Linked DNA regions of Kluyveromyces lactis. The protein of the gene in region 2 interacts with the protein of the main gene of each other region in a pairwise test. Links are inferred from orthologs where the notes say so. Each region holds a gene or a part of one and is shown on either strand. Other genes may lie near its edges.

Region 1 (5,447 bases), about 860 kb from region 2:
TCGGACACATGATAAAAAGCTGGACCCGTGTTGTTAAAAGATCGGCCTCGCAACTATCTGCTACGCAATTCAAACGTATTATTGGTGCGTCATCAATCCAATCAAACTCTAGTTACTCTACTGATTCATTAGAACAACAGTACAAGGACAAGCTTTTGGACAAGGCTCGCGAACAAGGTTTTAATAGCATTGAGGAACTTAAGAATTCTTTGAAAGAAGAAATTGAAAAGAAGAAACTCGAGTTAAACAGAATTGATCCACTGAAAGAATTGGAAGACTACGAACAAAGAACCAAAATGTCATCTAACATTGCTAAGTCCCGTGGTCCGATTGATCCATCTATGCCAAAACAGCCGTTTAAGACTTTGGACAGCTTTTTGGATGTGGAAAAAGTGAAAAACCTCTCTAAACAAGAATGCGAATTTCTTTGGAGAGCCAGATGGGCCAATAAGGACAATGTATTGAACGCTGTTGTTCCAATCGATATCTGGGAAAAGATCAGTGCCTTAGCCAAAGAAAACCCATTCTTCGTTATCCCTTTGCCAAGAGAGCGTGCAGTTGAAGAAACTGCTGCTGAATCTGCAGAGAAACAAGAACCGGCCATGGAAATGCATTACATTCAGTGGCAATTTGTAGGACCTAAAACCGTCCACTGTATTATGACTACTCTAGCAGAGTATAAATTGCACAAAGAATTTGCAAGACCTCATACTACTCTACAGTTCCACTTGGATTTGGCCAAGGAAAAGAACATTGTATTGATGAACGGCCAAGTTGAATCTGATTCTAATGTTTCCCTACCAGAATCTCAACTATTGCTTTTGAACGTTCAAAGATTCTATGGTGCTATGGGACAAGACTCCGGGTTTGCCCAAAAGAGGGTCCAACTTTTGAAGGATTTTACCAACGGATCTCCAAACTTCAATGTTGATCTATTAGTTGCTCTTTCTCAAGTTATGGAGTAGTGGAAGATTCCTAATACATTTATATATATTTATATACATATATATATACATGTCGCTTGTATAAAGAAAACATTCCATCATACTCGATCTATGCTAACAGCATGCGGTTTTGAGTAGCAGCAGGCTGTGGTTCGAGGTTGGGCAGCATGCGTTGGAATGGCTTTCTTCTTAGTCACGTGTACTTCATCAAAATGAATTTCACCACTATGACTAAGTGTGGTCCAGAAGTGCTACGAGCATATGGATGCATCGATGACCCAACCTATGAGTAGAATCGATTGAATTCGTTCTGCTCAAACAGTACAAAGCCCCGACAGTAGTTGCACATTGTACACTGTTTGCTGGAAGTTGGAATATCTCCTTGTTTTACTTCTACTACATTTATAATGGCGAAAGTATTGTTCTTGGGCCCTGTGGGAACATATTCACATCAAGCAGCACTCCAACAATTTCCAAACGAGGAGCTAATACCGGTGACATCTATCCCTGCATGTTTCGAAAAGCTCATTTCAGACATAGATATGGACTACGGGGTAGTTCCTCTCGAAAACTCCACCAACGGTCAAGTTGTTTTCACGTACGATCTTTTCAGAGATTTTATGCAAGCAGATTTAAGTCCAAGTGTTGAGGTTGTTGGTGAACAATACGTCGACATTGCCCATTGCTTGATTTCACCAGTACCGCTCTCAGAAGAACAATTAAGAAAGGTTGATGTTATATATTCACATCCACAAGTTTGGGGCCAAGTAAAAGACTATCTCAGTGATCTTGAAACAAAATACGGTAAGACCGCCAAGATCGACTGCAGTTCGACTGCGGGGGCTGTGGAAAGATGCATAGCTGAATATGCCACTGATAGAAAAATAACTCTAGCAATTGGAAGCCGTGCGAGTGCATCACTAAATAAAGCTACGATTGTGGAAGGCGGTATCAATGATGTCAATGGAAATACGACAAGGTTCTTGATCTTGAAAAGGCGTGACGAATCTAGCGAAATTGGCAGCCAAGCTCTCCCACCTAAAGGCGATGAAATGAAAGTAAACTTTGTCACCTTCGTGATAAATCAAGATGATCCAGGTTCCTTAATAGATGTATTAAATGTCTTGAGGGAGTATAAGTTGAATATGTGCTCAATCAGTTCGAGACCATTCCATAATCAAGTGCAATCAGAAAGAAAATGGCAATATTGCTTCTTTATTGAGTTTTATGGCAATTACGGTACTGATTACGAACTTCTGGCGAAAAGGTTTGACGAAAACTGCGCAAAATGGATTCACTGGGGTAAATTCTACCGAAACGCACTGTATTACCAAATCCCATGATATATGCATTATGTTTAGAAACAAAATGCAAATACTGATCTTAAAAACGAAGCAATCGAAGAGGAATGTACGCATCCTAGTTGTATTCATGGAACAACGCTGTCCTGTCTATTGTTTTGGGACCGATCGAACCTGTCGATAATTCCATTAGAAGCTCGTTACGTAACTATATATACACAGAAGCCAGATTATCTAAGCTTCTTCCCAATGGTAGATATTAAATCCACACTATCCGCTTGGTATTAAATCATTGGAAATCTAAATTGAGTAACATTTTTTGCGGTTCGAACAGTCCAATAGCGATATTAAATTTCGATAATGCATCTTTGTAGGCTTAACACTCTATCTTCACTTGCCACACCGAGCCAATTTCCAAGGTTTATTATCCAACGGACAAACATTTCTGCTCTTGATCCATTGGGTAATACAATGTAGGTGGAATGCGTGGTTGCACTCACCCCAGGCGGCTACACATTCATGCTCCGAGTTGAAAGTTGCTTCCTGCTGACAATTTACACATGGTTCCATAATATGATTTCTGCAAATGGCACAATTATCAACGTCAATATCCCATGACCAAAAAGCTACCGCTGTCCATTTCGTTATCTCAAAATTGGGCTTTGACTCAGTAGCACCCTCTGTCCCGCTCTGTGCCTCTATTGGTCCCAAATCCGTGGCCATCTCCTAACGATCAGCTACTATTGGTAAATATAAATCCTTCCTTCTTTAAAACAGATTACAAACAGACGTTCTAAGTCCCAGGTCTAACTGTCGTTCAATCCTTGGAAACGCGGGTGTGAAAACCTTTTTTTAAACTATTAATGATCGAATAGAGTAGTCTTATGAATGACAAAAGATATACCCTGTGGACTATAATGGGATCTATGGACTTTCGTAACTGCCCAAACGTTCAGAAACATTAGAATTCATGTTGAAAGAGAGACAAGAGTGATATTCATATCACGTGAATACAAACATTTGTTACCCGGATGTGAAATTGTACATGAAATGGAAATCCAACTTATAGTAACCAGCACAAACAGAAACAAGTGATAAATCAGTGAACACAGGAAAGCGTGTTGGCGATATCAGACCTGTGTTAGACCTCCGTGGCCATAATCTGTCCAGATTCAAGATAAACTGGAACCTCGACCGTCCTTTAAAGTATTGAAATCCCTCTCAATAAAAGATTTTTTTGAAAGTGATTGTGAAAGTGAGAGACAATACTGCCAGTCAGAAGCTAAAATATAAAGGACCATGAGTGACAAGAACGAAGTATCATCATTGTATCCTCCACCACCACCGTTCATTCAATTTTTCACCGAAGAGAACTCAAAACTATTTAGAGAATGTGGCAAAGATGAAGAAAAACTAGCGAAATGTACAACAAAACAGAGGGAGCAGTTGAAATATTTTGTGAAGCCAGAACTACCCAGGGATGGTTCATACAGAGCATTTGGTAATGTATGGAAAATTAAGGATGAACTACCGGAGTTATCACAGATGGGAATTGAACAATTATATAGGAAACGGGAATCTGTCACGGAATTGGAAAACGGGACCACAACAGAAGTTGAACCTAGTCCTCAAGATTCGCAAAGTGGGACAAATTACGAGAACAAGATCCAAGAGTCGAAAAAACTAATGAAATCACTATTACTAAATTTCCTAGAGCTTATAGGAATATTGGGAGTGGATTCAAGTAGATATGAGAAAAAACTTGACGAGATAAGGGTGATAGCCATCAATATTCACCATCTTCTTAACGAATATAGACCGCACCAAAGTCGTGAATCGCTAATCATGTTATTTGAAGAACAATTGGAACATAAACGCAAGGAAATGGAACACATCAATAAAGTCTGTGATGAAGTGGAATCCAAGCTGGCTCAACTGTGATATATATCCCAGCATACCAGTTGTTAAGGCGATCTCTAAAAACGAAGACTTTGGTATCAAGATGTTTAATTAAACTTTCATAAGTTCGGCTGCTTGAGAGATTTAATTCGAAATTTAGCCGCCGAATAAGGTATACAGAATAAGAAAATCAGCAAACTTTCTCCCAATGCAAGCAAAGGGGGAAGACAAATTTAATAGCAAGATGTCGGACGAAGCTAATGCTCATTATTTCTAAAAGTCCTAATACCAACTCTCTGACGCTGATTATGTAACGAAGACCTAGTAAGTTTAAAATACAAGTCACGTGCTCTACATGACTCGCGAAGTCCTTTTTCTTTTGTCTTCCCAGAATGGGGTAGAATTGCCGATTTCTCTTCGATTTCAGGTATGGCGGATCGGAGAAACTAATTCCACAGGAAGAAATCCTACAATTCCCTTACACCACACTACGCATTATAAAAAAGACCCAAAAAAAGAATTAGCGATCGGAATAACTCGTGCAGAGAGTGTAGGGCCTAAACGGGCAAAGAGGAGAACAAATGACCAGGCATGAAAAAGAGACCAAAGAGAGACAGAAGAGGGGAACGGCGGGCAGAGGGCAAATAGAAAAAACCGCCAGGCAGATTATCCGAAAGACACACAACAGAATAGCGCGCGAAACTGTCGTCAGTACCTCTCTCACACCGGTTTCCTCGAGAGGAAACCGTTACACCGATTAAATCGGAGCTGTAACGGGCAGCTGGGTTAGTTTACCGTAATAAACGTGACAGATCCCAGGACTGATCCATTTTATTGTCAATATGTCAGCCTTCTTTTCGGCAACATGCTCTCTTTTTTAAAGCCTAACAGGAATTGAATTGCCAAAGTAAGCTATAATTCCTGTAATGGAGGAGAGCGCACCGCGTGGTGCCTGACTTGGGCTAGTATAGCAATGCGTGAATAGTTTACACCTATATAATATATATAGTGAGGGACAAACCAAGGGTTGACACACTGAACTGTTACCTGGGGGCATCTTTCCTACTTGTAACCAAAGGGACAAACATAACCTGACAACGTGTCGTCACAATTCGGGTATACTATCGTTTTCTCTACCCTTTCTGTCTCTAGCATTTCGCTCTGCAATCTACGCTATCTTCGCTTCTTTTTTTTTTCTTCTTTCTTTTCGATTTCAAGAATATCTGTTGAATCTTTTCTTTTGAGAGTGTTTCGGATCAACTTATGCCAGTTTTCGATACACATTTAAGCTCTAGTGTTTTTC
Region 2 (5,786 bases):
TATGCGTATTTGTTTGAAAGATCAAGTTTCTTCTTTTCATCTTGCAGAAGCAACAGTTGTTCGTCCAATGACTTGCTCGTTAGTTTGTTAATCTCACCACTGAGTTGTTCCACCTGTTTATTGAGATACGAGATGTATGGTTTAATTTTCTTAGTATCTTCCATGCTGGTAGTTGTATGTGGTCCGTGTTCTTGTCGTTGTCGACTGAGGCAGCGATGAGATGAGATGAGATGAGATGAGATGAAGCTGTATAATACCGAGATGAAGTATTCTTCACTGAATCAAAATTTTCGATCAATAACATAATACTGCGAATTTTTCGCAATGGAACAAAACGCATAATAATCTGCGTGCGTTTCGCACGTAGAAGTACTTCAGTAATATTTCTATTTCTTTATCCAGCGAAAATTCCATATTTGCCTGCCAAAAAAAAAAAAAAAAACGCAAGACATTACACACATTCATACCACATATATGGAGAACCTGTACTCAATACAGGGCGAGTAGTCCTATTTGGACTGTTGAAGTAACATCCACCCTCCGCCAGTATACTTAATTTCAACACTGGCCTAGCTCAAGAAGTACTTTAGTTTGTTTCTCGTCAGCATAGATAATGGTCGCTGATGACTTATCGAATATAGAGACACAGCTACGACAGGTTCGTGAGAAATATCGTGAGCAAGCACACTCGCTCTCGCCAAGCGATGCAGAATCATGGTCAACCTTGGCATCAAATTTGCAGAAAGTCGTCACAGAAATGGATCAGCTTTTGCAGCGGAACTCTAAACAGATGAACGTATCCTTCCTATTGAACCACGAGTCATCATCGCTTCAGGCTGGAATACAGCCACCGCAACCGCTTCTACAGAACCTATACCAAAAGAACGGGAACGACGAACAGCAGAACCATCTCAAAGTCAAACTCGATAGAACTGCGTTCTATTCGGAAAATTCCCCCTTCCAACATCAAATGGATCGGTCTGGTTCATTCAGACTCTGTCCACCTTTAGCACATACAAGTGCAGAAGATTACTTCCGCAACGATACGCAAACCCCAATTATGATCTCAGATGGCCAGATCCTGGAGAACTTGGCCAATCTTAAACGTCTCACTGAGATGCAACGCCAATAGGTGGATGTAATCTTCGTTTTCGTTTGAGATTCGACACATCACATATATGATCCATCTTTTATTTGAGTCATGCGAACGTTTTTGACCAATTATACACATATACACATATAATATGTATAGTAAAAGATAAAGCTGTAATGATACACTATAAAATATCTGTTGGCACCAGTTGCAGAACCATAGAGGTTCAATACCCAACGCAATTCTATCTCTTTGGTATATGTTTTCTCTTAAATCTGTCGAATTTGTCGCTCTTTGAGGGGGAAACAAAATTCGAAAAACATTAAAATAACTAACTAGCAAGTAAACATCAACATCAATAAAGTATCAAGACAAACAACGACACTAGGAAAGCTCTACACGCAATCTGACAACGGCTGTAGTGGAAAATCAATAGAAGAATTACATTGCTCTAAGTTATAAGTTATTTTTTTACCCCTCATCATGACTGGGAATCGATCTCTGGTTCAGAGACACAGAAAGAAGTTCGTTGTTTCTAGTGTTTTGTTTGCTACGCTATTTGCTACATGCGCTATTACGGTCTATTTCAGTAAAAGATGGTTGTACAAGCAGCATTTGAAAATGACGGAGCAACGATTTGTCAAGGAACAGATCAAACGGAGGTTTGTACAAACTCAGCAGGACTCGTTGTACACTCTTTATGAATTGATGCCGGTAATGACGTTAGTGTTGGCTAAGGATTTCGATCTTGATTCTATTGTAGAGGCTCTAAAGGGGAAAAAGTTACAGAAGAAGCTTTCCAAAGGTGAAATAGCTGGGAATGAGTTGGAAAATGAGGGCTTAAGTTCAGGAATGAGTGCGATGACGCCTGCACCCAGTGTGTCAGCGAAATCTCCGCAATCTGCAGATACCACTAGCGTTTCTGAAACGTCTACGAAATCCAAGGCCGAGCTTTGGGACGATTTGAAACTCAAAGCTATCACCAAGATCATTATCTTGTCCTATACCACATCATTATTGATGCTTTTAACCCGATTGCAATTGAATATATTGGCAAGAAGAGAGTATTTGGATACTGCCATCAATTCTGCCATGGAAAAGGAAAGGGAAAAGAAGGCTAATCAATACTCAGTCTTATCTTGGTTCTCTAGTTGGATCACTGAAAAGAGCAACAATTTACCCAGTGAAAAAGCTGACCCAAGAAACAGCGATGGTACTATTGACACGGACACAAGGAGCATTGCATCCACTGCGAACCCTGAAAAATCGAGATACGTTAACGAACAAGCTTTCTTATCCTTATCGTGGTGGTTATTAAACCGTGGATACCTACAATACAAGAGTATCATTGAACAATTGGTGAAAGAAGAGTTCCAAAATTCGAACCCAAGAGATATCATGACAATGGATGAGTTCAGTGGCAAGATAAGCAAGATATTCGTCACCACAAACAAGCAATTCTTTCAACAGCCACAATCGAATGAAATGTTCATTTCATGTCTACTTCCTGAACCTAACTTAGAGAGATTTGTTCTTCAACAAACTTTAGAACAAGATGCTTTGAAAGTACTATACGAGGATAATCTATTACTAAAACAACTTGTACAAGAGACCAACAAATGCCTACAATCACCTGGAACATGGATTGTCCTGGAGTCTTTAATCGATGAAACATTCCACACAATCATGGAACAAATCGAGGATAATGTCAACAGCAAATCGAAACCTAAATCGAATGATGACGACACCAAAGTAGTCGATATATCCAAAAATTCATATCAAATCGCATTATTCTCTATCGCCACGAAAGACTGCACAAACGAAATGTTGAAAGCGGGACTCGTATCAATGAACAACAAGTTCCTACAGAAACTACACTCCATCTCGGCACTTGACGATCTCAGTGCATGCGTATATAGTAACTTCGGTCTATGAAAACCTTACTTGGCCCTCCATTCAAGTACTGAAATCGCTCCATACCGTGTATGTAGATAGTTCTATAGTTAACGTTACTCTTTCACTGGCACTACGGGGTTTCTCTTCCTGTTTCTTTAATGGCCACGTGATCATAATTTTCTTTTCCTTAAGGTCAAATAACGAAAAGAATCGAATTCCCAACAGGTTGTCAATCAACATGTTATACATCTCAGTTAATGTTTGCAAGTGGATAGGAGCTTGGTGTTTGTAGTTAGTTAGCACCATAGAGTTACCAAGTGGGTTCTATTTAGTACCAGAAAATCATGTCCAAGGAAAACCAGAACGTTGTTTTAGTGAGTGTTGAGGGAGAGAGATTTGTCGTTGACAGGAAGATCGCTGAACGCTCACTTTTACTAAAGAACTACTTGCAAGATCTTAACAGTGGCGATTTGCATGATGATAACGATGCTGACGATGACGAAGATGATGAAGAGGATGGTGACGATGAAATAGTGATGCCCGTGCCCAATGTGAGGTCGTCAGTATTACAGAAAGTGATCGAATGGGCCGTTCATCACAAGGATTCCAATTTCCCCGATGAAGATGACGACGATTCGAGGAAAGCTGCGCCTGTGGATCCATGGGACCGTGAGTTCTTGAAAGTGGACCAAGAAATGTTATATGAGATTATTCTAGCAGCTAACTATCTAAATATCAAGCCATTGTTGGATGCTGGATGTAAAGTTGTTGCGGAGATGATTAGGGGCAGAACACCTGAAGAAATCAGAAGGACCTTCAATATCGTTAACGATTTCACTCCAGAGGAAGAAGCTGCCATAAGACGTGAAAACGAATGGGCAGAAGACCGTTAAACTTACAAGTTTTCTTGTTGTTTTCTCTTTCTGTATCTACATCCTCTTCAGTTTAAAATAGCAATTTCCCTCATTTCCCGTATGTAATCAATAATTTAAGTACTTGCTTGTTAAGCGGATCTTAATTGAAGTAGTGAATTTGAGTCATGGGCAAACGCAGGGATCGCTTTCATATCGCATTTATAGCTTCAAGGTCTGTCTCTGCACCGATAATTTTTCATTTTTGTACCTATATATAATATTTAAAGAACGCGCTACCTTAAATTGAAACTTTTTGCTTCTGGTTTTATCTATTCAAGGCAGAACTGCATCGATAGATGCACCATAGGACCCTTGTTACTGGTATACTTGGTGTAGGATTGTGATGACGTTGACCATTGGTGAGGAGACCAAATCCAGACTAAGATCGCTAAGCGGGAATACTAGTTCGTTGCTAAATTTAAACAAACGCAAGAAGAAGAACAAGGAAAAGAAAAAGGATAAGGACAAGAGTCAACCAAAGTCTCAGGGCAATACACGTGTGCTACGGTCTACGAGTCTGAAACCCAATGTCAATGATGATGCATCTGCATTATCGTCGAATTCGAGCTATGATAAGGTGTATTTGATGGATGGGAGTGACCATAAAGCAGGATCTGCGAATCATGCCTCTGATAAGAACAATGTTTCAAGCACGGGTTCAGGTATCCAAAGCATCAAGATTCGTAGTAGCAGACAGTCTGGCGAAAAGTCAAGATCGAGGTCGCTGAGGATTTCTACATCATTGTCGAGGCTTCCGAGAAAGAATTCATTAAATGCAGGAAATGATACGTCTTCCACTGAGGGTTTCAATCAAACTGCAATGACAAGGGAAGAGAACACTGATCCATTGGGTTCGAGGTTACGGGTAAGCGATAGCAAGGCTTCTCTATCTGACGTACCATCAACGACTCTGTTCACCAAATTCAAGTCTTCGAAAAGTGATAGTGCGACTCCCGTAAAGAGTAAGCCAGACGAATCTGATTCCGGCCTCTTTTCATCGCTAATATCGGCTGCACATAACGCTGCTAACCATTTGATACCCAAAAGTTCACTGAAGAGTAGTAGCAGCCTTTACGATGAACCGTCCAATGGAGATAGAACTCAGTTGCTGACTTCTGGTATTGGTGGTACAGATACAAGTAATGATCCATACAACCATACAGGCTCATTTCTGAATCATTTAGACTTCCTTCTTGCTCCCAGCTCGAATAATGATTATTTACTGAAGAAGGCGACGACACTAGACACCCTTAATACCAGCGACTCCTCTACATCTTCCATTTCTCAACAAATGACTAATCCGTCTTCTACCGTGCCGTTATACGATGATAGCGATCAAGATGGTAATAACAGTGATGATATTGGTTCTGTGGGAACTTTCATGGATAAAGTCAAATTTACATCAGTAAAGCAAGATAATGCCCCCCCAATTTCGACCTTTGGGAGGGGAAATCTAACTTTAGATGCCATTGAAAAGGACAAAGATGATCTCAAGTCCACCGGCTTTCATACACCAAGTGTGCTGATTACCACAGACCAACCAGATCGACCGGTATCGTCTCCGTCCCCACTCTCAATGCCTAATGATGATGCAAATACGGACAGCAATACAAATTCTGCCAGTCCTTCATTCGAAAAAACTAGGCCGAGGAACGGTAGGTCAAGACGCCCCGAAGTGTTGAGAGATTTAACTATGAGATCATTGTCGCCTGCTGCAGCTACGAAATTATTTACAGCACCCCTAAGAAATTCATTTTCGGGCAGAAACATGACAAGAGCGAGTAGCATATCCAAGACCAGTGATATTGTTCAACCACCTGGAGGACCAACACGCCTGTCAACTTCGGACATTCCAATAAAGAGAAAAACTGAAGAACCAGAAC
Region 3 (6,121 bases), on a different chromosome or scaffold from region 2:
GTTGATTATTTTGACTGCTAAACTCTTTTGCACGTGACCTAAAAAGGTTCAAGTACACAGGGAGTAGCTGCCCTTCGACTAGCTGGTAGGTGATTAACTTCCGACTTGTCTTGATTACCTGCTATGCCACCTCACATAATGAAAAATTGAATCTAACAAAGCCTGGAATACCTTAGATATCATATTTTCCTTCTTTTCATCTTTACATCTGATATATGATGATATAGCATTACGCCATTTGTAAGGTTTTAAAGGGAAATCTGCACATCAAGGACCCTGTTTGAACCATTTATAATGTATAGAAACGACAATATATTTTAATGGCAATCAGAACCGACGCTGTTCGAAGAGTTGAGATTTCCCTTGGACCAACATTCGGAGTCGTAAACAGTTAAACTCAAACTTACGGAAAGATGTCTCAAGACGATCAGAAGCAATATCCTGATGAGAAGAAAAGTTCCTTGCCAGAGGATCCTCCAACGTATACAGATGTTCTTAAGGAAGACAAGGCACTACGAGAGGAGCAAGCAGAAAATTGCAATCAAGTGGGTCATATGAGCACCAACCACATACCAGAGGCAATCGTGGCTACCCCGGTACGCAGAGAACAAGTTATAATAACGCCGGCTCAAAAAAAGGTATATAGTTACAGTGCTAATGTAGATGATATTTAAATAGGATGAGAAATAAATATATTAGGCCTAAAAAAAGTACGTATCACAGTATTAACGGTGGCGTTGAACACTTTAAGTGTTCCTCGTCATCGTCGAGGTCTATTAGCGACAGGTGATGGTTAATGTTGTCCGATACTGCGTTATTGGTAATAGTCTGAGTGTTATCGGGATCAGAGAAAGGAATCGATAACGTGGGGGACCGCGAATTCGGTGATACAACACCAATTTTATAATCTTCAAGCTCTGGCGACCTAGCTTTGTCTCTGTGGTTTCCTTCGTCAGTATGATGGGTAAGGGATCCCCAAAACCAAAATTTGCTCTTCCTTTTCTCCTTTGGTCGCTTCTTCTTCTCTCTCGGTAAAGCTTTGGCGACAAATGGTTCCAAGGGATCCATTTTAAATTTCGGCTTGACATCATCACCATCCTGTGAAGGCAGATTGTTTCTATCATTTTTATCCCGCAGTTTATTGAGCAGAATTTGCTTACTTCTTAATTCATGAGCGCTTTTCATTGCTTTACTCCGTAGTATTTCATTTGTTGATTTCTTATTGGAATGCGGTTCCAAAGGCTTCTTTGGTGCGGTCAGCTCCGGTCGATGAGCATTTGAACTCCATGCAAATGTAACATTCTGTGTAGTCATTGAACTGTTGTTTAAACTACTGGAACCGTGGTTCGTTTCCTCACGTCTCCATTCTTCTTTGATTTCATGATATTTATCTATCATGGGGGTTTTTAATGGTTCAGACCACTTATCATAATTTGGGTCTCTTATGCGTAAGAGTTTGTCTTTATGTCGGGCTATCACCTCGTCTGCTAGCTTATATACCATGGCTTTTGTTTTTGAACCCTTTTTAGTATCGTCTAAATCCTCGAAGAAGCCTGCCTTTTCGAATTGTTCTACAGCTGTACGAACTTTTCTAATATATTCGTCATCATCATCATCTTTCTGATTCTCAAGCTTATTCCCCAGTGGTTGTTCGGTAGCAATTGGTTCTTTATGCGCTGCTGGTCGTTCGAGATCATTTGGTCCTTGATCCCGTACTACTTCGCTCAACTGCCTTTCCTCAAAAACACTATCCCAAACGTTTTCCTCGTCTGGAAGCTCCATTGACAGTACATATACCGTTGATATAGCAAAGTGATCACTTATTGTGTTTTCTTGTTCTGAACCTTTTGTAAAGTTTGTGTACTCATGGTTTTCTATCAATCTTTCTACGCTAGAAACTACTCGGATTGATTTGAAAGATTTAAATAGTAAGTCAGTAACAGTACAGATAATCAGAAAGTGAAGTTAAAAGAAGGACCGATAGTAGGCGACTTGCATCCAAGAAGTTCCAAGAGCTCATCACAAGACAAATGGCTGGAATAGTTTTGAAGTACAAGATTCCTCAGTTTCAGGAGTATACTATTCATGTTCAGAAGTATAACAATGTTACCAATTCTTCTGAGCTACGATCCAAATTGGCTGAATTACCTTTTGCATACATCGACTCCAAAACTGTGATATCCGTTGAACAATTGTCGAGTGCCATCTATAAGGCTATTTTGGAAACAGAGTACAATAGAATGCGGACAAGAACTATCCATTCTGAATGCATTTTATCACTATCTCCTAGTTCGAACATTGGCGATGCATTGAACAGATTTGGTATAAAGGAAGGAACAACTGATATAATTGTGATCAAAATCATTGAAGACAGTAATGAAGAACCCTATGATGGCAATGCTTCCGTTGATGGGGACCTAGTTCCAGTCTCGGATGATGAGTTTTCTACATCTGCCGATAAAGAAATTATCAAAACGGTATGTATTCCTTGTGATAAGTTATGAACAAATGAGAAGACTCTTAATAATGAATAGATTACTAACCTAAATGCTATATGATTATGATGAGGATAAAGAGCTACCGAGCTCTTTACCATTGTACTATGTGTTTTTTTTTTCGGTAGAATTACAAATTGAATAAAGTAGGAGATGTATCAAACGAAGAGTTATCAACACTTGCCGTCAACGCGATACAACTAAGAGGATTGTAATTCTTCGCTAATGATACAACCAAGACCCATGAATGCCTCTGTTAACATTCTATCATAAATGAAGTCCGCCCTGAATCCTGAGGCTATATATTCCTTCTTCTTTTGTAAGTCTCTGATGAAAGAATCATTATACTCGTTTTCAACCAATTCGTATCTTTTGTGTAAATCCCTGTCCCCATTGAATGGTGTGAACGGTACAGTATCTTTCTTCTTCATTCTACCATTTGTCATTGTCATGTAAGGATTGTTTCTTAACACTTTATTTAATTCTTCGAGCTTCCTTCTGGCAGAGGATTTCTTTAGCTTGACAGTCTTTTTCACATTTTCAATAACTTCCTCAGCATCTTCATTCACTGTGAGCTGGTTGACAATTTCTCTCTTTGCCCACTCCCTATTAGCCCTCTCTTCTTCTTCTATCTGTTTCTCTAGTAGTCTTTTCTTTAACTTCATTTCCTTTTCAAACTTCTGTCTCTGTTCGAAGTTAGCGACATCTTGTTTGCTCCGCTCTAAATTTGCCATGATTAGCTGTTTGTTTAATTCTTCGTAGGTTCGTAACCTCTCCTCGGTCTTCTCCATATCAATACCATGGTCTAAGTTGTATATAATATCTTCCACTTCTTCTAGGTATTTATCATAATCGTCTTGGTTGTTATCGAAATCTTCCAGCGTCTTGTTAAACACATTGAAAACACGTTTTCTTATATCAACTTCCTTCTCGACACCTACATCATCAAAGATTTGGGTCTTGAACTTATTTCTTCTCAAAATTTTATCGCACCCTTCGTATGGACACTGAGCAGGACCCAAACTGAATATACGATCCACGCATGATTCACAAATTTTATGATAGCATTCTGGATTGATCAAAAACTTCATATCAGGCGATAGATACCTGTCTGTTTTACAGATAGGACACATGTCCTTCTTCTCATCTTCATCCATGATGACGATTCACGTTGATTCGTAGTCCCAGATGATTTAGTTTGATATCTATTTCTTATTCATTGTCCTTACAATTTGTTCATTATTTATCATCAACTTTTCAAATAAAGGTTTCTTGTTTTATACCACCGATATTGAATGATATTGTATGACAGAGACAGCTAAAATCACAAAATGATGAGAAAAGGATTACTTATGCGGCAGGCAAATGATACTGAAGACAGTAAAGGGAGCATTTACTGAGGAGACCTACTGCGTTGGTGAGCAAAATGTGGTTATATTGTGTATATATGATTTTTTATTAGCTAAGTTGGGGCGTTTATTGCCTTTCTGACAGAATTGTATATTTTATATGGCATTAACTTCTTCATTGTCTTAACAGGTTGCTGAAGGAAGGTTGATGTAAATACGATTATCTTTACCATGGTACTAAGTAGAAAATTTTTTGATGGAATTGTTTTACTGCTTTTATTGGTTTCTTCATCTAATCTTTCTCTCAGAAGAGGAACGTAGCTTTCTTCAAAGTGTTCGACACTTGATACAGAAACCAGTTTTATTGATTCGTTCTGTTCAACTTTTGTGGACTTTTTGAGCAAGGGGCTATGTAAAATTGATGGTGGGTTCAAAGGCGGGGTTGACTCCAGAAGAATGTCTTCATCTACGTCTCTGCTCTTGCAAAAATTCATTACCGTACTTTTATCTTTGAAAATGTTAGCGTTCTGATTCTTGTTCACCCTTCTTTGTGCCAAATCTTCCTGTTCCTTCAGATCATCCGCTTGCTTTTTAAACCTATTCAAACCCTCTTGTGTCAAATCAATATAAAATATTATGAGCATTACTGCAAATCCAACTCTCTGGGAAGAACCAAATCCTATGTGCCAGAGGCAGGTGTAAATCGGAGAAGAATTTCCATCAGGAGCCAAACATAAATGTATGGCAGAAGCTCCTATTGAAACAAGAATCGCATTCATTAGGCCATATATGAATAGCTCTTTCCAGTATTTTCTCAAAATTGGATGCAATTCATCATATTCCATTAAGTATTGGTATGCATAATCATAGATTTCCCTGATGGAGAAAGTAATATCATATATGTTTCTTGATATCACGTAAATAGTCATATAGCAACCAAAAAGCCTATCAACTTCAGATAAAGTTAGGTATTTGGTATTAGTCAGTAGGTCGTAAGATTTACCTGAGAAAGTGTATTGTTCGTCTGAGAACGACAAAATATGTACGGTGACAAAATAAGCAACTTTCCATTTCACTGGCCATGAAACTATCCATTTCATGTTCATAAGCGCATTGAAATAAGTTGGCTGTTTTTCAGGAGGATCAATAAAGTGATTGAGGTATACAATTTTTTGCGGGAACATTCCTGGTATTTCTTCTCTTATCTTGTTGTTCTCTTTCTCTTTCTCTTCTGCTTTGGCTTCTTTATGGCCGGTATCAATCCTACTTTGAATGAAATTGTTAATGTTATCAACTTTAGAATACGTTTGCTTTATGTCTTCCTTGATGGTTCGAAGTACTTCTTCTACTTGAAAGTACTCTTTATCGTCCTCACCCTCTTCATGTCCACGCTTCACAGGATACTCGAATTTGAAATCTTTATTGTGAAAAAGGGACTTCTGTTGATTTTGATAGTCCTTGAATTCAATGACATTCCCTTTTTCAACTAAGCTAACTCTTTGTGGACGTTTGATGTAATCAGGAAGAGGATACCCAAGAAGTTTAGCACATTTTTCACTTATCTTTTCAGATGTAAATTCGCCATTCAAATCACCCATCGGTTTAAAAAGTTTATCAGTTTTATTAATGGCTCTTCTTTTCAATTCAATCTCATCTAATGGCCTCCATGACAGTTCTATCTCGGAATCTGTATCGTTTTCCTTGCTATCATCATTATCAAAATCGCTATTATTCATTTCCAAATTCTGATTCTCATTGTTTTTGTTAATTGGATAAGGATACTCATTCAAATCATGTTGAGTAGTGGCCAACAAATTTTCCTTGGTATTTCTTCTTGGCATTGTAGTCTTCCTGGTTTCTTTCAACCTCTTCATCAATGCTGTGAAGTCAAAACTCTCTTTTTCGCTATCTGTCGTTGTGCTCGAATTTTCATCTAGAAACTGCCGCCCAAGAGCATGTGGCAACTTATTCGGATTTCCAAGCCTGGGTTTACTCATTGTATAGTTGATGACTTGGTTGAAATTACTCTGAACTATTGGCTATTCATAAGTTTAGTTTCAGGTTCAAGCCGTTTTGTTTTTGGACAGACATCCTTAGTGATTACGATATTGATAAAACTGACGTCTTTATTGAATATTTTGTGTCAAATTTGAAAACTCGAACAAACACAAACGCGAAAAAGCTCTCGAGAACAAACCTGTTGATGAATCTATTGGATCGATAGTGGCTTATTAACTTCCGAGTTGCTTTCAGTGTATGCGTGGAGGTTCACGGTGG
Region 4 (7,073 bases), on a different chromosome or scaffold from region 2:
TGAATTATGAGCGTCTGTGAATTCAGCTAAAGCCAGCTTATGCTCTTCTTTCAATTTCTCATAATCATTCTTATAGTTTATAGATCCAGAAACCTGCTCCAATAATAGCGTCAATGATTCTGGTCCCTGAGAAGCGATTCTTTCGACATCACCTTGGAAAACCAAAAAGTTTTTCGCCTTGACCAAGATGTTTTCGGATTCTAATTCCTCGTTATATTTTTTATAGCTCACAGCTCTATCGTTGATTTTGTAAACGCTATCACCAGATGTATTGATGGTTCTTGTGAATTTTGTTGGTTCATCAAGATCATCTTTTTGATACACGCAACTGACATATGCACTTCTTGGTTCTTCCTCCGAATATGTGGCATTCTCTGGACCAGCTTCCGAATCAGCGTCGGATCGGTGCATTCTCTTAGCATTGCCGTTATCTGGATCGCCATTTTCAATTCTGCCCCTGTATATCAAATCTACAAGCGCCGATGACCTTAACTGATTACTTCTCACACCTAACACAAAGGAAATGGCATCCATCAGATTCGATTTACCAGAACCATTGGGCCCAATGATGCTGGTGAAGTAAGACTCACCAAAACCAACTTGCACCGTATCCTTATACGACTTGAAATTATGCAGCTCTAACCCGATAAGTCTACCCATCTTGGAACACGAATATCTCTACAAATCAGCGAAATAAAACAAAAAATGATCACAAGTTTATTAGGATAACTTGTACTGCAACTTCAATTATAAGCGGCTTGTTGCAGCTGATGTAGATGGTAAGCTGACCGAATAAGCTACCCATCCTTCAACTAACACGAAAAATCTTAATGTAAATAGATATAAACGCCTTTCTTATTTTCATTTTCTAAATATTGCATTGACGCGTTCGAACATATCCGGGTAACTTGGTGTTTCATTATGTAACTTAATTGGGAAGTTTCCGTTATAATCCGTCCATCCATAAAGAGGACGGAGGTGCTAGTTGCACCAAGGATGTACAGAAGACAAGATCGGTATGAAGCTGACACCCTGATATACAGTTCACACGTTCTGTGGTTTTTGAAATTCAATTCGTATTATATCGGTTTTTTTTTCTGGGGTTTTGCTTTAATTAACTGCATATGATGATATACTTATATGTATATTTATATGAGGATGTCTGAGATGGATGGAAAAGTCAGTATTTGGTTCTTTACACGCCTGTTTTCATCTGAACAGGCTCCAGTTGTGGGATGCTAGCGTAGGCATTGGACGTGTCTCTGTTGTTCATCAATCTGAAGAAGTACAGGTTGAATTTGTTAATATAGAAGATGGAGACCACGCTTAACAATATGTAAGTCATTTTCAAAATGGCTTTTGGTACATAACCCCAGTTTATGGTACGATACTGGATCACGATGTTGACTCCTAGTAGGAAAATGACACCGCAGCTCAACACAAGTACAAAAGCACTTACAATCAGACCTACTGATAGTTCTTGTGTTCTTAAGGCTTCCACGGTTAAATTTTCTTCAGACTGAGACCCAACTTGTTTGTTCCTCTGGCTAATTCTCGATGAGGATGATGACGCCGATGATGATCCTTCTTGCTGCAATGACATTTCAGTGTGTTGGAGGGGTATTTTGGGAGTGCTTAAGTGGGTAAAGATTCAGTCCAATCCAAGACGCTATGCTTGAGTAGGCACTGGAATGTTGCAAGAATAGGTGGACAAAATCGAAAGAGGTACTTATATTGTGTAAATTTGACATTTTTTTCAATGTGCAACTTACTTTTTTCCTCATCGCAAAACACACCCGATTAATTCCTTGGCATAATTTTCCACACCTAGGGATGACCCTATCTTGATAAGAAGACATAGATAGGTAAATGTTGAGAACTGTATATGTCTGGTATAGTAGTCGACTGTATCCACCAGTACTGGGGTGGCTGAAAAGTTTGTAACACGTAGAAATAGTATTGAAACTCCTATATATGTCTTAGGGATAGGTGATGCCGTAGATAAATTAATCATACAACTTTTTTATGTCTGCTGGCATTGAAGAGAAGAGAAGAGAACAAAGATACAGAGGATTGGTATTACAGAGTTTATTTGATGGTAGAATATTTCCATACGGCGAGATACCAGATGTGGTAATGCAAGTTAAATTGATAGTTAATGTTAAAGAGTGGAAGACCAAAGTGACGTTCGATATATTTGATGGTCGACTCTTGTTCTAGTCCGGGTTCTGATAGTCTTGTCACCATTCCGAGCAGCAAAATCCAAGATTTCTACGTAACTGTGTCCCACTGACTCGATCGCAGCGACTAATTTTCTGTTATTTAATTTGATACCCCACACTTGTTCCGAATCTGTGAGTAGCTTCCTGTGTATCAGCTTACCGGTCCTTAAATTATATACATTGAATTGTCGTTCCGATCCACTAACCAAAATGTTATCGTTCATGGAGAATGAAGTGATAGCAGCCAGGTTTGTATGATGGAACGAAAACTTTCTTGAATAATCATTTGGATCCCAGCCGCGTATCGAACCGTCTGCAGCAGCGCTAACCAAAAATTTATTGGATAGGCAAAGTAGACCAACTAAAGCTGTATGTCCATAAAGGCATTTCATGCTTCCAACCACTTTGATCGATGCACCGTCATTGATTGTAGTAGTTGTCCCATTATTTTCAATGTTTTCGAGATCCCAGATCATCACTGTGGTATCCATACTTGCTGATATGCACCTGTTCCTCTTGTAGTCATAAATGGTCGAGTACACACGGTCGGTGTGACCGGTTAGAATATATAGTAATTTCATACTAATGATATCCCATACCATCAAATTGTGGTCATATGAACCACTTATGACAATTCTACCATGACCAGACACTGTCCTTACCGAAGACATGTGGCCTCTTAATACCCCAACAAAATATGGGTTTTCCTCTGGTGTCCTGTAGAAAATAGGTTCCTGCGATCCCTTGTCTAGCTCTTTCATGGGGGGAAGTTTCCACACATGCAAGGTATTGTCTCTAGACCCCGTTACAATGTATTTGCTGTCACCATATTCAACCACTTCTAAACATCTAACCGTCGATGTGTGTCCTTTGAAAACATGGGTACATTTACCAGTTTCGATGTTCCAGATTCTCACACTTCTATCTGTGGAACCACTAACTAAAATCTTACCGTCCACAAATTTCAGTGCCCACACACCGCCCTCATGTCCGTTTAATTCTAATAGGAACAGATCATTCTCAGCGTCATACACGTTGATCTTCTTATCGTCTGCTCCGGTAATAATATAATTGTTTTCAAATTGTAGACATGTTACAACATTGGTACTATGACCATCAAGACAAGTCCTCCCTGGTTTATAGTTTGGATCGTACCAGTTCTGGAGACACCAGTTGTTCTCCAGGAAATCTAATCTAAATCTGTCGTCAGGGTTGATCAAATGCTTATATTTACTGGGCAAACTGTTACAGTACGACGGGAACTGATCTTCGGTGACAAAACCTTCGTTAAGCATTAGCCATTTCCAAACAACAGGCGCCTCCTCGATTAACCTATTCCAATTTCTGTTAACCAACAAACATGCGAAGATGTCTTCCGAAGATAAATTTAATAGGATCTTCACAGTGATTTCATTAGGTAGTGATTGGAACAAATCTCGTTTCAAGTTATCGGTTATTATACTGACCAAATCTGAAAGCTGAGTTCTATCCATGTTGGAAACAAGCCCAAATATAAGACTTGTTAAAGCATTTGGATGAGATGTCGTACTGCTGAGTCTAGCTACTGTAGTCCCTATGACTTCGTCAATACTTGGTTCCTCCACTTCAGGTGTGTGACATGGGGAAGCAATCGGCGATATTGGTAACGGCCCATCTTGATCCTCGATCAAGTTGGGACTGGAAACAGCCTGCTGATTTGGCTTTAACTTTTTGTGATACTGACCGTCGCTGTCAGAATCGTCGTCAAGCTGTTGAAGGGGATAATGTATACTTCGTTTACTCTGAGACGCTGGCTGAGGATGAAGTTGGTACCGGTATGGAACGGGAACATTCTGTAGAGGATACTGTGGTACCCCTGGGGTCGCATGCCTATTGAGATCCATGTTACTTATACCCTTAACTAATGGAAGTTACTTACGACTACCCCACACCTGCCGTTACTCCTTATCTTTCTGCTAAACAATATTCCGTCTGTCAGTCAATATGTTGATGTGACTTCGTTTTGTACAAAGAAATCGTACAAGAGTTTAATTTTGATTTTGGTTGAGAGTGCCGATAACAGTGCAAATAAACATAGATTTGTTGAATCAATGTTATCAGTCCCTATATCTATGCGAGATACTCTCGCCATCTATTAGTTAGCTATTAAACGCTTTGAGGCTAATATATTAAGCTAAACCATTCTATCTTTTAGACCTACATAGGTATTTACCTTGCATGCAACACAGGTCACGTGTTAGAATGTAATTATTACCAGAGCAGCGATCTCGGTTGTAATGGTGATATACGATACTGACAGGACAAAAATGCCTTGAAGCTGTTCCTAGTTAATCTACCGATTTTTTTGGTTAATTCCCGGCGCAAACACTATGTAGTTGGCTGCTTATTACGGGTTAAGATGTGGGGGTTTGAGTCGTCTTTTCTTGTTTGAATGTGATTTCCAATTTGCATAAAAGACGATCGAATGAAACATCTGACTAGATTTACATATGATATGAATAGAAGTTTCATAAATTTGAACAACAGGAAATAGGCAGCCACGGCCGAGGTTTAGTTAATTGAGAAAGCAGAATATTGGAGCATGTCAGTTTGTATAGTTGGTGCCGGTGTTATTGGTTTGTCAAGTGCGCTGAGACTACTGGAAACAAGACCCGATATCAGGACTATAACAATTGTATCCGAACAATTCCCGCAAGATCAGCCAATCAATCATACGTTCACATCACCATGGGCAGGTGCTCATTTTAGACCATTCCCACACAGAGATTCTGATTATGCTTCGGATAAACGTGAGAGTGAATATACCAGAGTGACTTATAACTATTTCAAACGTAAATCTAAGCAGTGGTTGAGTGAGGCCACTGTTGAATTCATGAACGGGATCGATTGGTTAGAAAATCCGAGCATCGAATACCAACGCTTAGGAGCAGGGTATAATGGATCCAGCTTGGAAAAATTCCAACAGCAAGATTCCAACTTGCCTGCAGGTGTCACTTTCGGTTGTAGCTATGAAACGTGGTGTTTGAATGCTCCATTGTATTTACTGTTCCTTTACGACCAGGTAATGAAAAAGAGTGAGCAACAGAACGTTAACATTAGAGTAAAGAGAATCAAGCTTGAGAAATTAAAAGATATTTGCGAGCTTTACCCTGATGTTAATATTGTGGTCAATGCTTCAGGTTGTGGGTTACAATGGGAAGGAGGTTTAGATCCTAAATGTTTCCTTGTCAGAGGTCAAACTTTATTACTTGATGTTGGTGACAAGCATGACACCATACCATATGCACATGCGACTATCACACATCAAGCAAAGAGTGGTGACTGGACCTTCGTCATTAAGAGACCTGGAAAGAATGGCAAGAAGGCATATTATATTCTTGGTGGTACCAAACAACCTGGTGATTATAGTGTAATGCCTCGTGATACAGATACTGAGAAGCTCATTGGAAGAGGTAAGAAACTTTTCCCTGAATTGCTTGAAAACTTCGAAATCAAGAACGTCAACGTTGGTTTCAGACCGCTAAGAGTAGGAGGTTCGCGTGTAGAACTCGAGTTCAATAAGAGTCCTGATGGAGAACAAATGCCAGTTATTCATGCTTATGGTCTTGGTGGGATGGGATTCGAGACCTCGATGGGTGTTGCCTACCACATTCAAAAATTGTACAACAACGTCTTCTCCACTTCAAAATTATGATGTGCGCTTGCATCGAAATTAAAGACTACCTACTGGACATTTCACATTAAAGTAAATAATTCTGTAAATAAAGACCACGCAGCATTTTAAGTTAACTTTATTTGAAAGTATCAATAACGATTACACTTCATTCGAATGAAGGGATTGTACAACGGAGGTTGTTACTAAGTAAAAAAAGTATGCATCTCAGTAACGAAGTGAGTGGTGCCGTCAGGACGTTTACGTATTTTATGGTAAGTGGAACTCATTATATGTTGAAGGGTGTAGATTACATTTCGTTATATGGTGAGGAACCCAGTGCAATTGAGCAAGCTTACGCCATATTCATGAATGTGTTGGAAATAGATGAACAAGGGAAAGTTATCAACGTCAAACATGCCGAGAAACGAGCAACAGACTACATTAGGTCTTACTGTGAATCGACCTTCGAGGTTGATCCACCTTTCGAAGATTGGGAAGTTCAGTTATATTGAAAAATGTACCTCCATTAGCAACTATTTTAGACCGGCGTTGGTTTTCTGGGAGCAATTGGCTGCTTATACACCAGAATAGTGTATGTTTAGAGGCTGCTACATAGTCAAAAGATAGTATTAGTATTCATACATGATATCAACCTTTATTCACACTGGATATAGGCAACCAATTATAAATCCGGGTAACTTGTAGTTTACGTTGACTATCAAAGAGAATCAACCAAAAGGTAATAACGTCCAGTAAACTTAAACAGTAAAACAGAAGTTTTCTGATATAAAGAAGGTGGAAAAGCCAGACTTAAAACATTAGAGAACGTATAAATTTGAAGAAATTCATTATTGGTTCCATATATAGTACCCCTAATTGGAGATCTAATTGGGTATCTGCGTTCTCTGTTTTTCTAATTAGGAGACAGACAACTTTTTATTGAATAACAGAGCGGAAAGCAATTGTTACTATCTTTTATGAACTGCTAGTACCAAATTACAAACTTATAACACCTAGAAATTTTCCAATTCAATTTAAGATTACCTTTTCTTACATTTGCATTATTGATCAGCTCTAAAAGATTTCAACAATGGCAAAGCGGGTGTATGATCCCATTCACGATACTTATCAGATACAAGTTACTCCAGAGCCGCCTGTGCTTTCACAGCCGCGACCAGATGGTAACGAAGAGGAAG
Region 5 (6,967 bases), on a different chromosome or scaffold from region 2:
CTGTTGAGATTTCCAGGAATCTAAGGTGTATCGTACAATAACTCTCTTTTCGTAGGATATGTTTCGTACAATGACATTACCAATCAACATGTGCCCTTGTGTGTCCAATCTAAGGTCTTGTAAATGACAAATAAAGGTTCCCAAATTTGCCTCTTTTTTAAAGCTATCATTTGTATTAAAAGGAGAGCTGAAATCAAAGTTTGGGATGCCAGTAGTATTAGCGTCATCTTCATTTTTATTGTTGTTGTTGTTATTATCATTATCATCATTATCATTAATACCATGACTATACTTCCAAAAAGGTGCATTATTAGAGTGAAGAGAATTTGACCATCCAGAATTTGGAGTGTTCATCGAATTATATATACCATTGGCAAACGTTTGGAACTGATTTTTTCTTACACCAAATACATCTAATCGTAATAACTTTGGAGTTTGTGCTTGAAGGATCAAGTTTCCATTTACCAATTCCAAGGACCTCTTTGATCCCTTCATATTCAACATATCATCGTCGTCATCATCACCATTAACTTTGGCAACAGCCTCTCGGCTTCTATGGCGTCTGCTTTTCCTTAACTTTCCAGATTTCGTACCGTACTCTCCTGATTCGTTTCTTAAGAATAACGGACTTTCGTCCTCCCTAAAGTATTTAACTTCAAACTTCTCACTTTGAGCAAAATGAACCGATTTAGACCTCTTGAAAACAGGAGGTCTTTGTTCCTGGCTTACCCTACCTTCTAGTGGAGAAGTTGGTAGGGATTTGCTTCGTGTAAGTAATATTGAGGGTGGATTGAATATAGCGCTAAGTTTTCTACTATCCAAATACCTGTCTTCTGGTTCATCATCATCGTCATCGTTGTCATCGTTGGAATTGTTATTGATTTCAACTTCAGGCACATCTGGTTTCGATACAGGGAAGTAGTCTTGCATGCTTAAGCTTGGGTCTGTTTCGCTTTCCCATGCTTCTTTCTTCAATGGGTCTGTTTCAACATCCCAATCTTCCTTCTTTGATGGGTCCGCATCTTTATTGAAATTTAATTTCTCGTTGAGCCGCCCTGCCAATTCATTGCCCACAGGATCGTGTTCATCATGTTGAGAATCCTGTAAACTTTTATCTACAATAATTTTACTTTTATTCAGATCTGTGTTCCGTTTCAAAGCGTCGTTCATGGCTGTTGTTTCGACCTGGCAGGAAATTCTTTGTGGTTTCCTCAAAAAATTCAAAGAGCTAAACTTGCCGCTTTGTAAATTCTGTACAGCATCTCGTTGGTACATCTCGCTAGACCATAGTAGATTTCTTCTTCTATTTAGATAGCCTCAATCTATTCTGACTTATCTCCAATTATTTAACTAGTGTCTTGATACGTTTATCAGGAAGATACGCTAGTAATCGAAAAGTGATTGTTTACACTAGCGCTTATTGCCCAATATGAAATGCTAAATGCTTTAAGGATGATAAAGCAATGAAAATGCGAGCAAACTGGGGTAGCTCGTTATATATCTGGTTTATCTTCGATCAAAAGTTAAAACAACAAAATTTAAAACAAAACCTCACAGAGTAGAAAACACCAAGACTATTTTTATTCTTAACTCGAAGGTCATAAAACACCAAGTACCCAATACAAACCTGTTCGACCACTGGCTCACCCGACTTATGTATGATTGAAGTCTTAAAAACAGAGGAACATTAATACCTTGCATGAAAACGTCTGCTCATGGTGACAACCCTTTTTTTCTTATTATTTCCTTTCCTTTTCTTTTCAAGGATTCCCAGTCACATTTCTCTACTACGATATTTTCTAAGCTGTTTGGTGAGAATCTGGAAACCAAAAGACGGTCATGTTGACAATGAAAAATGGAAGATGTGTTAGTTTGGCTTTCGAAGAAGAAAACGGTGCGCTGTTACGTTTCAACGAGGCTCATCATCTTAATCATTATGGTGCGATCTTATAATTAGATTCCGCGCATATACGACGGTCGAATTAAATGACGAATTCCACAACTTCGCATGCTCGACATTTGACTTTTTAACGTTGATGGTTTCGGGGTTAATGAAGCCAGGTAGGTACATTGATTTTAAACATTGTTCCGAGCACGATAAAACTTTCAGAAACTGATCGTTGAGTAATGTATTCGTTCGAAAAAGAATGGCATTATGTGGCCTCTGTATTTAGGCAGCAGTTGAGACTAGAAATAAGTTACAATATAAACTTTTGTATTTAGTTATGCTAGTTTTGAAGATGTTGAACACAATTGTTCCTTCACTTCTGTACCATTAGCTATAGTGTAATCGGTGCAACAATGCCAATGGTTCTACGACAGGGCTCTCAAATATCATCAAAATGCCACATTTTCACTTCGCCCAGCTCGTCTCCGCTAACAAATGAACTGTCACCAATTCCTACACATACAATAGGAGCCTTGTGTCCTGTAAAAGTTTGTATGCATTTACCATTTTGAAGATCCCAAACTTTGATGCTCTTATCGTGAGAGCCACTGACAATTCTGAAGTTATCAGCAGCGATATCCCAAACACCTTCAACATGTCCAAATTGAGTTCTAATGCATCTACCTGAACTGACTTCCCAGAGTTTGATGGTGTTATCCAATGAACATGAAAGCAAATGTGTAGGGTATTTCAAATTCGGATCGAATATTCCTGTACAGTCATCTGCAAAATCTTCTTCTAACTCTGGGTTGGGTACTTTTTCAATTTTTTCATCCACCACTAAATTTTCTGTGTCTTTGATCGTTAATGGAATAACTTTTTGCACTTGACCAACATGTCCTCTGAAAACTTTAATACACGAATTAGTACGGATATCCCACATTCTTAATGTTTTGTCGTCACTGGAACTGTAACAAGTGAAACTTTTTGGATGTAGTTTAACACAGTTGACCCATTCCGTATGGCCCCGCAACGTATAACAAGTCCTAGATTCAACATGCCACACTTTAACTGTTTTATCAGCAGAAGCACTCACAATGATTTTTTTGTATGAATCCACCGATAGCACAGAATCCTGGTGGCCTCTATAAGTTGATATACAGGACCCTGTAATGTAGTTCCATACTCTGATTGTCTTGTCTAAAGAAGCTGTGATCATTTTCTGATCATCAAAATAAATACCCTTCACACCATCCGTGTGCCCGGTGAGTCTTCTAATCAAATTACCAGATTTTGTGTCCCATATAGCCACCGTTGAATCGTATGACCCAGTGAAAAGCAGTCTGTGGTTGAACTTTAATGACAATACCCCATCCATATGGCCTTTGAAGAGCTGAATTCTACATCTTCCATTTCTCCAATTGGATTCCACTTGGAACCGTTCCCTATATATTACTTTCCAGGGTCTCGTATAGTACCTGCTATTCCTAGCCCTAGCGGCAACAGTTTGGTTGGGAGAGTTGCCAGGATTGATTAGTGACTTTCCGCCTCCAATTTCATTCCCGTTGCCGTTTGCAACATTTTGGAATTGATTGCCGTTTTGATTATGGACATGTGCTTCATTTACAGGTAAGTATCTTGCCCTCTTCATATGGAGTAAGGGTAGACCCCATCCACAGTTTGGACATTTTCTATCAATATGCTGTTCGCACATATGGTACCATACCCTATCGTCATCAGCTAGTGTTTTCCACCTCTTACATGTTAGCGAGGCGATGCAAAGAGACTGACAGTCAAGGTAACCTAAAATTTTCAAAGAAAGTTCCTCTGGTAAGGTTGAAATGAAATCGATCTTAATCAATTGTTTTACCTCATCAGCAATATAAGATAGCTGGGGAAAACAACAAAGCTGTAATATTCCTTCCAGCATTAATCTTCGTATCTTATCATTGCTATGCTGGAAATTGTCTAGCGTTTGTTTGATAATTGCTCGGTCTGATTCCTTGTCCAAAGCTTTCATTTTCTCCATCCACTTCTCCGACCGTACCTGATCTTGGAAAACCATCGAATCCTTACAAGTGTGTTGAATATCTGGATTATGACGGTAGCAGAATTTAAAGAAATTGAACTGAGGCATTTCACTCGGAAGCTGTATTTCCTCATTGTTTTGATTGACCTTGGAAGCTTTGTTTCGTAGAATTTCCCCCTTCCCATCAGTATCCTGTCGTTGATCTGACACTCCATTCGAATCTACATCTTCGAACTTACGCTTTAAATCCGGTCTGCATGTCTGTTGAAGGTTAAACTCCATTTTGAAATACGATCGTAACTCGTATGGTATATTTGAATATATTGATGAGATAAAATGATGGGGTATATTGACTCAAAACAACTTCCCTAGCGTTCTCTTTCCAAAATGTTTATTCTGTTCCTCAAACTTTTGTAAATATACCAGAACCAGTGATCAAAGTGATGCAGTACTGCAAAACCCTTCGTTTATGTCTCTTATCCACAAGGATATAATTCCTTTCCTTGATTCACAGGAAAATTCTATAAGAACACCACCAATGATGAGCACTAGTACCTTTCTTTACCGAAACTTGTTGTTCTTCCCTATCTGAGCTCTCTCCGCTGCTGATCTTTCGTTTGTTCTGAAAATTTCCAAACCGCTTAATACAACAAATATGATGCTTTATATAAATCAAACAAACTATTGGTAGATCGGGAAGTGAGACGCCCCTTTAAGGATTAAGAAGTCTTACTTTGGCAGTGTTTTTCCTTTTGAAGAAGTCCTTTGTCAGTCAAGAGTTTTGTTTAAGTTTCGATATTTTTACTTTTTTTCTCTGCGCTAAATTTCAGTACTAGCTAAAATCCGTTCTTACTATCTTTATGGGAAAAAAAGATATGTTTGTACTGCTAGGGTAGGTAAGCCACACTTTACAGGTTATCTGGCTTATTACAAGGATATTCCATGTTTTGATCTGACTAAAAGCCAAGAATATAACATGGCACATTTTCCCTTGAAAATCAGTCATTATATATGTATAGTGTAACCTGCTACTGTGCATTCGGTCATTATGCGCTTTTCTGTGTTCATCTCTGGTTCTTTCCAGCGGTGTCTCTGGTGAGGTAAGCTATCTGGATTTTTCTCGTTCATTCACGTGATCAAAATTGCCACAACGACAGAGACAGAATCGAAGACAATCAGTAAGAACGGACACTGGTTCGATCATGCAGGGCTGAAAGGCAGGAGTCAAATACCTACTATGCTGACTTCAAATATTGTCTACAACATGCAATATATTGCTATTGTCACAATTTTTGCTGTATCAATTTATCTATATTAACTTACATTATACACAAGGATACAATAAGGTGCCCATGCATAAGATTTTATATATATAATTATGGTGAGGAAAAGTGCTAATCATTTTAGACACGACAGTTAGAAATTTCGAATACCATGATATCTTCTGCACCGTTTTTTTTCAAGTCATCCATAATATCACCTTTGTTTTTCCTTTCGATCATGGATGAAACCGCTACCCATCCACTGTCGTTGATTTGAGAGATGGTTGGTGCTCTCCTTCCTGGAGTAATTTTTAAAAGTTCAGGTAATTTGTTCTCAGGAGCGTTATAACTACAACTGACGTACTTTTGAGCAGTCATGACACCTTCTATTCTTGATTTTATAGTTCTGAGAAGTTCAACATCTCCCTTTGGATTTTTGGATTCGATTAGATGTGCACTTGTATCCAATACAGTTGCAATAGCGGTCAACCCAGCAGCGCGCATGGTTTCTCCAGATTCGACTAAATCTACGATAGCGTCAGCAACACCTAAAGCACAAGATGCTTCCACGGATCCACCAACGTATTTGACCCTAGTGACCATTTCGGATTCAGGCACACCTTCCAATTGTGCGAAGTATTTTTTAGTCAAATTCACAAAACTGGAAACGATTGTCTTACCAATTAATTGTTCTGGTGAAGTATACTCTCCGGCAACAGGGACCTGGACCTGAAGCTTACAAGTCCCAAACTGTAAATCAATAGGTAAATTAACATCAACTTCACTTTCTCTGACTTGATCCACTCCCGTAATACCCAGGTCACATCTACCTTCTCCAACAAACATTGGAATGTCGGCAGCTGGTAAGAAAATCAATGCAACAGGCATATTTGTGGAAATTGCAATATCCAATCTTGCTGACCGGTGGAACTTGATATCAGAGCCCTTTAAGATAGAAACACTCTTCTCATATAATCTACCTTTCTTTGGAATGGCAAAGAGTAGCTTGTCGTTCAAATGATTCACTAAATCCATGATGGTTAGCAGCACTTCTTATGTGATTTACCGTTTTTTATTCAGTAGAGATGGACAGTATGGTACCAATGTACAACGCAGCTACTTACACATGTTAATGTATCCATTGAATGGTAGGATGTTGCATGAGTTTAAATATCGTCAGTGAGTCAAAACTTTTTTTGGAATTTTTCCAGCGTGAAAGCTTGAAAAAAAAAAATTCAAATTCCAAACTAAATAAAATTGTTCGAATGATTTGAAAGGACAGGTCATAATCAGAGATAGGAATTAGGAAGAACGGCAATTCCGCCACATGGGCTGCGAAGTATGCATCGTCTAAGCTTTGTGTTACCTCTGTAGGAATTTATATAAACTATATATAGCGATGCTTTGAAGCGCCAGATGAACGATCCTGTACATCACGTGAACAAAGTGAGGCAAGATCATAAAACCAGTAGCTACTGTCACGAGCTGTACATAACGCAACCAGTTTTTCGTCAAATATCGTCCATCTCTGTCTCTGTTTATATCATCAGAACCATTGATCTCTTCTATTTGACTCATCTAAAAATTCGCACTTAAATCAGCATACGCGTGACTACCAGCATCATGTTTGTGCTTTGCTTTCAGTATGTGACATTGATTTGAGCGAAAAATATATATGCGAACAAAAAGACATATAAAGAAAGGAAAGGATTTATGAAGGGATATAGTTGGTATTTACTTGGCTGAAGGCACACATCATGTATCTTTCCAAATTTCGACACATACACC

What was found.
Region 1: the proteins of SKP1 (region 2) and HRT1 interact in binary tests that used the Schizosaccharomyces pombe proteins (3 or more experiments, as listed by UniProt). The link is inferred for Kluyveromyces lactis from reciprocal best matches to the Schizosaccharomyces pombe genes skp1 and rbx1.
Region 3: the proteins of SKP1 (region 2) and TFB3 interact in binary tests that used the Schizosaccharomyces pombe proteins (3 or more experiments, as listed by UniProt). The link is inferred for Kluyveromyces lactis from reciprocal best matches to the Schizosaccharomyces pombe genes skp1 and pmh1.
Region 4: the proteins of SKP1 (region 2) and CDC4 interact in binary tests that used the Schizosaccharomyces pombe proteins (3 or more experiments, as listed by UniProt). The link is inferred for Kluyveromyces lactis from reciprocal best matches to the Schizosaccharomyces pombe genes skp1 and pop2.
Region 5: the proteins of SKP1 (region 2) and MET30 interact in a two-hybrid assay, tested with the Schizosaccharomyces pombe proteins (2 studies listed by BioGRID). The link is inferred for Kluyveromyces lactis from reciprocal best matches to the Schizosaccharomyces pombe genes skp1 and pof1.

Annotation. Positions count from the first base shown.
Region 1 is NC_006041.1:648,995-654,441, reverse strand, and holds HRT1 (SCF ubiquitin ligase complex subunit HRT1), read right to left. Parts: upstream 2,969-5,447; coding exon 2,636-2,968; downstream 1-2,635. Other genes in the region: ATP11 (Atp11p), read left to right, coding at 9-965; prephenate dehydratase PHA2, read left to right, coding at 1,352-2,287; mediator complex subunit MED7, read left to right, coding at 3,545-4,186. UniProt on the Schizosaccharomyces pombe protein: Component of E3 ubiquitin ligase SCF complexes, which mediate the ubiquitination and subsequent proteasomal degradation of target proteins.
Region 2 is NC_006041.1:1,505,981-1,511,766, reverse strand, and holds SKP1 (SCF ubiquitin ligase subunit SKP1), read left to right. Parts: upstream 1-3,333; coding exon 3,334-3,882; downstream 3,883-5,786. Other genes in the region: LRP1 (Lrp1p), read right to left, coding at 1-164; KLLA0_E16985g (uncharacterized protein), read left to right, coding at 614-1,132; PEX3 (Pex3p), read left to right, coding at 1,577-3,028; YSP2 (Ysp2p), read left to right, coding at 4,247-5,786. UniProt on the Schizosaccharomyces pombe protein: Required for cig2 degradation in the G2 and M phases of the cell cycle. Together with pof6, essential for septum processing and cell separation.
Region 3 is NC_006039.1:1,294,873-1,300,993, reverse strand, and holds TFB3 (TFIIH/NER complex subunit TFB3), read right to left. Parts: upstream 3,653-6,121; coding exon 2,696-3,652; downstream 1-2,695. Other genes in the region: KLLA0_C14916g (uncharacterized protein), read left to right, coding at 414-674; LFT1 (Lft1p), read right to left, coding at 718-1,782; CGI121 (Cgi121p), read left to right, coding at 2,031-2,504; KLLA0_C14850g (uncharacterized protein), read right to left, coding at 3,958-5,841. UniProt on the Schizosaccharomyces pombe protein: Acts as a component of the general transcription and DNA repair factor IIH (TFIIH or factor B), which is essential for both basal and activated transcription, and is involved in nucleotide excision repair (NER) of damaged DNA.
Region 4 is NC_006040.1:645,823-652,895, forward strand, and holds CDC4 (SCF ubiquitin ligase complex subunit CDC4), read right to left. Parts: upstream 4,106-7,073; coding exon 2,162-4,105; downstream 1-2,161. Other genes in the region: cohesin subunit SMC1, read right to left, coding at 1-660; KLLA0_D07524g (uncharacterized protein), read right to left, coding at 1,196-1,603; KLLA0_D07568g (FAD-dependent oxidoreductase), read left to right, coding at 4,804-5,916; KLLA0_D07579g (uncharacterized protein), read left to right, coding at 6,096-6,389; IES1 (Ies1p), read left to right, coding at 6,968-7,073. UniProt on the Schizosaccharomyces pombe protein: Involved in maintenance of ploidy through proteasome dependent degradation of CDK inhibitor rum1 and S-phase initiator cdc18.
Region 5 is NC_006042.1:2,543,765-2,550,731, reverse strand, and holds MET30 (ubiquitin-binding SDF ubiquitin ligase complex subunit MET30), read right to left. Parts: upstream 4,200-6,967; coding exon 2,328-4,199; downstream 1-2,327. Other genes in the region: KLLA0_F27533g (CBM21 domain-containing protein), read right to left, coding at 1-1,275; HIS1 (ATP phosphoribosyltransferase), read right to left, coding at 5,321-6,214. UniProt on the Schizosaccharomyces pombe protein: Probably recognizes and binds to some phosphorylated proteins and promotes their ubiquitination and degradation. Required for the inactivation of zip1 via ubiquitination.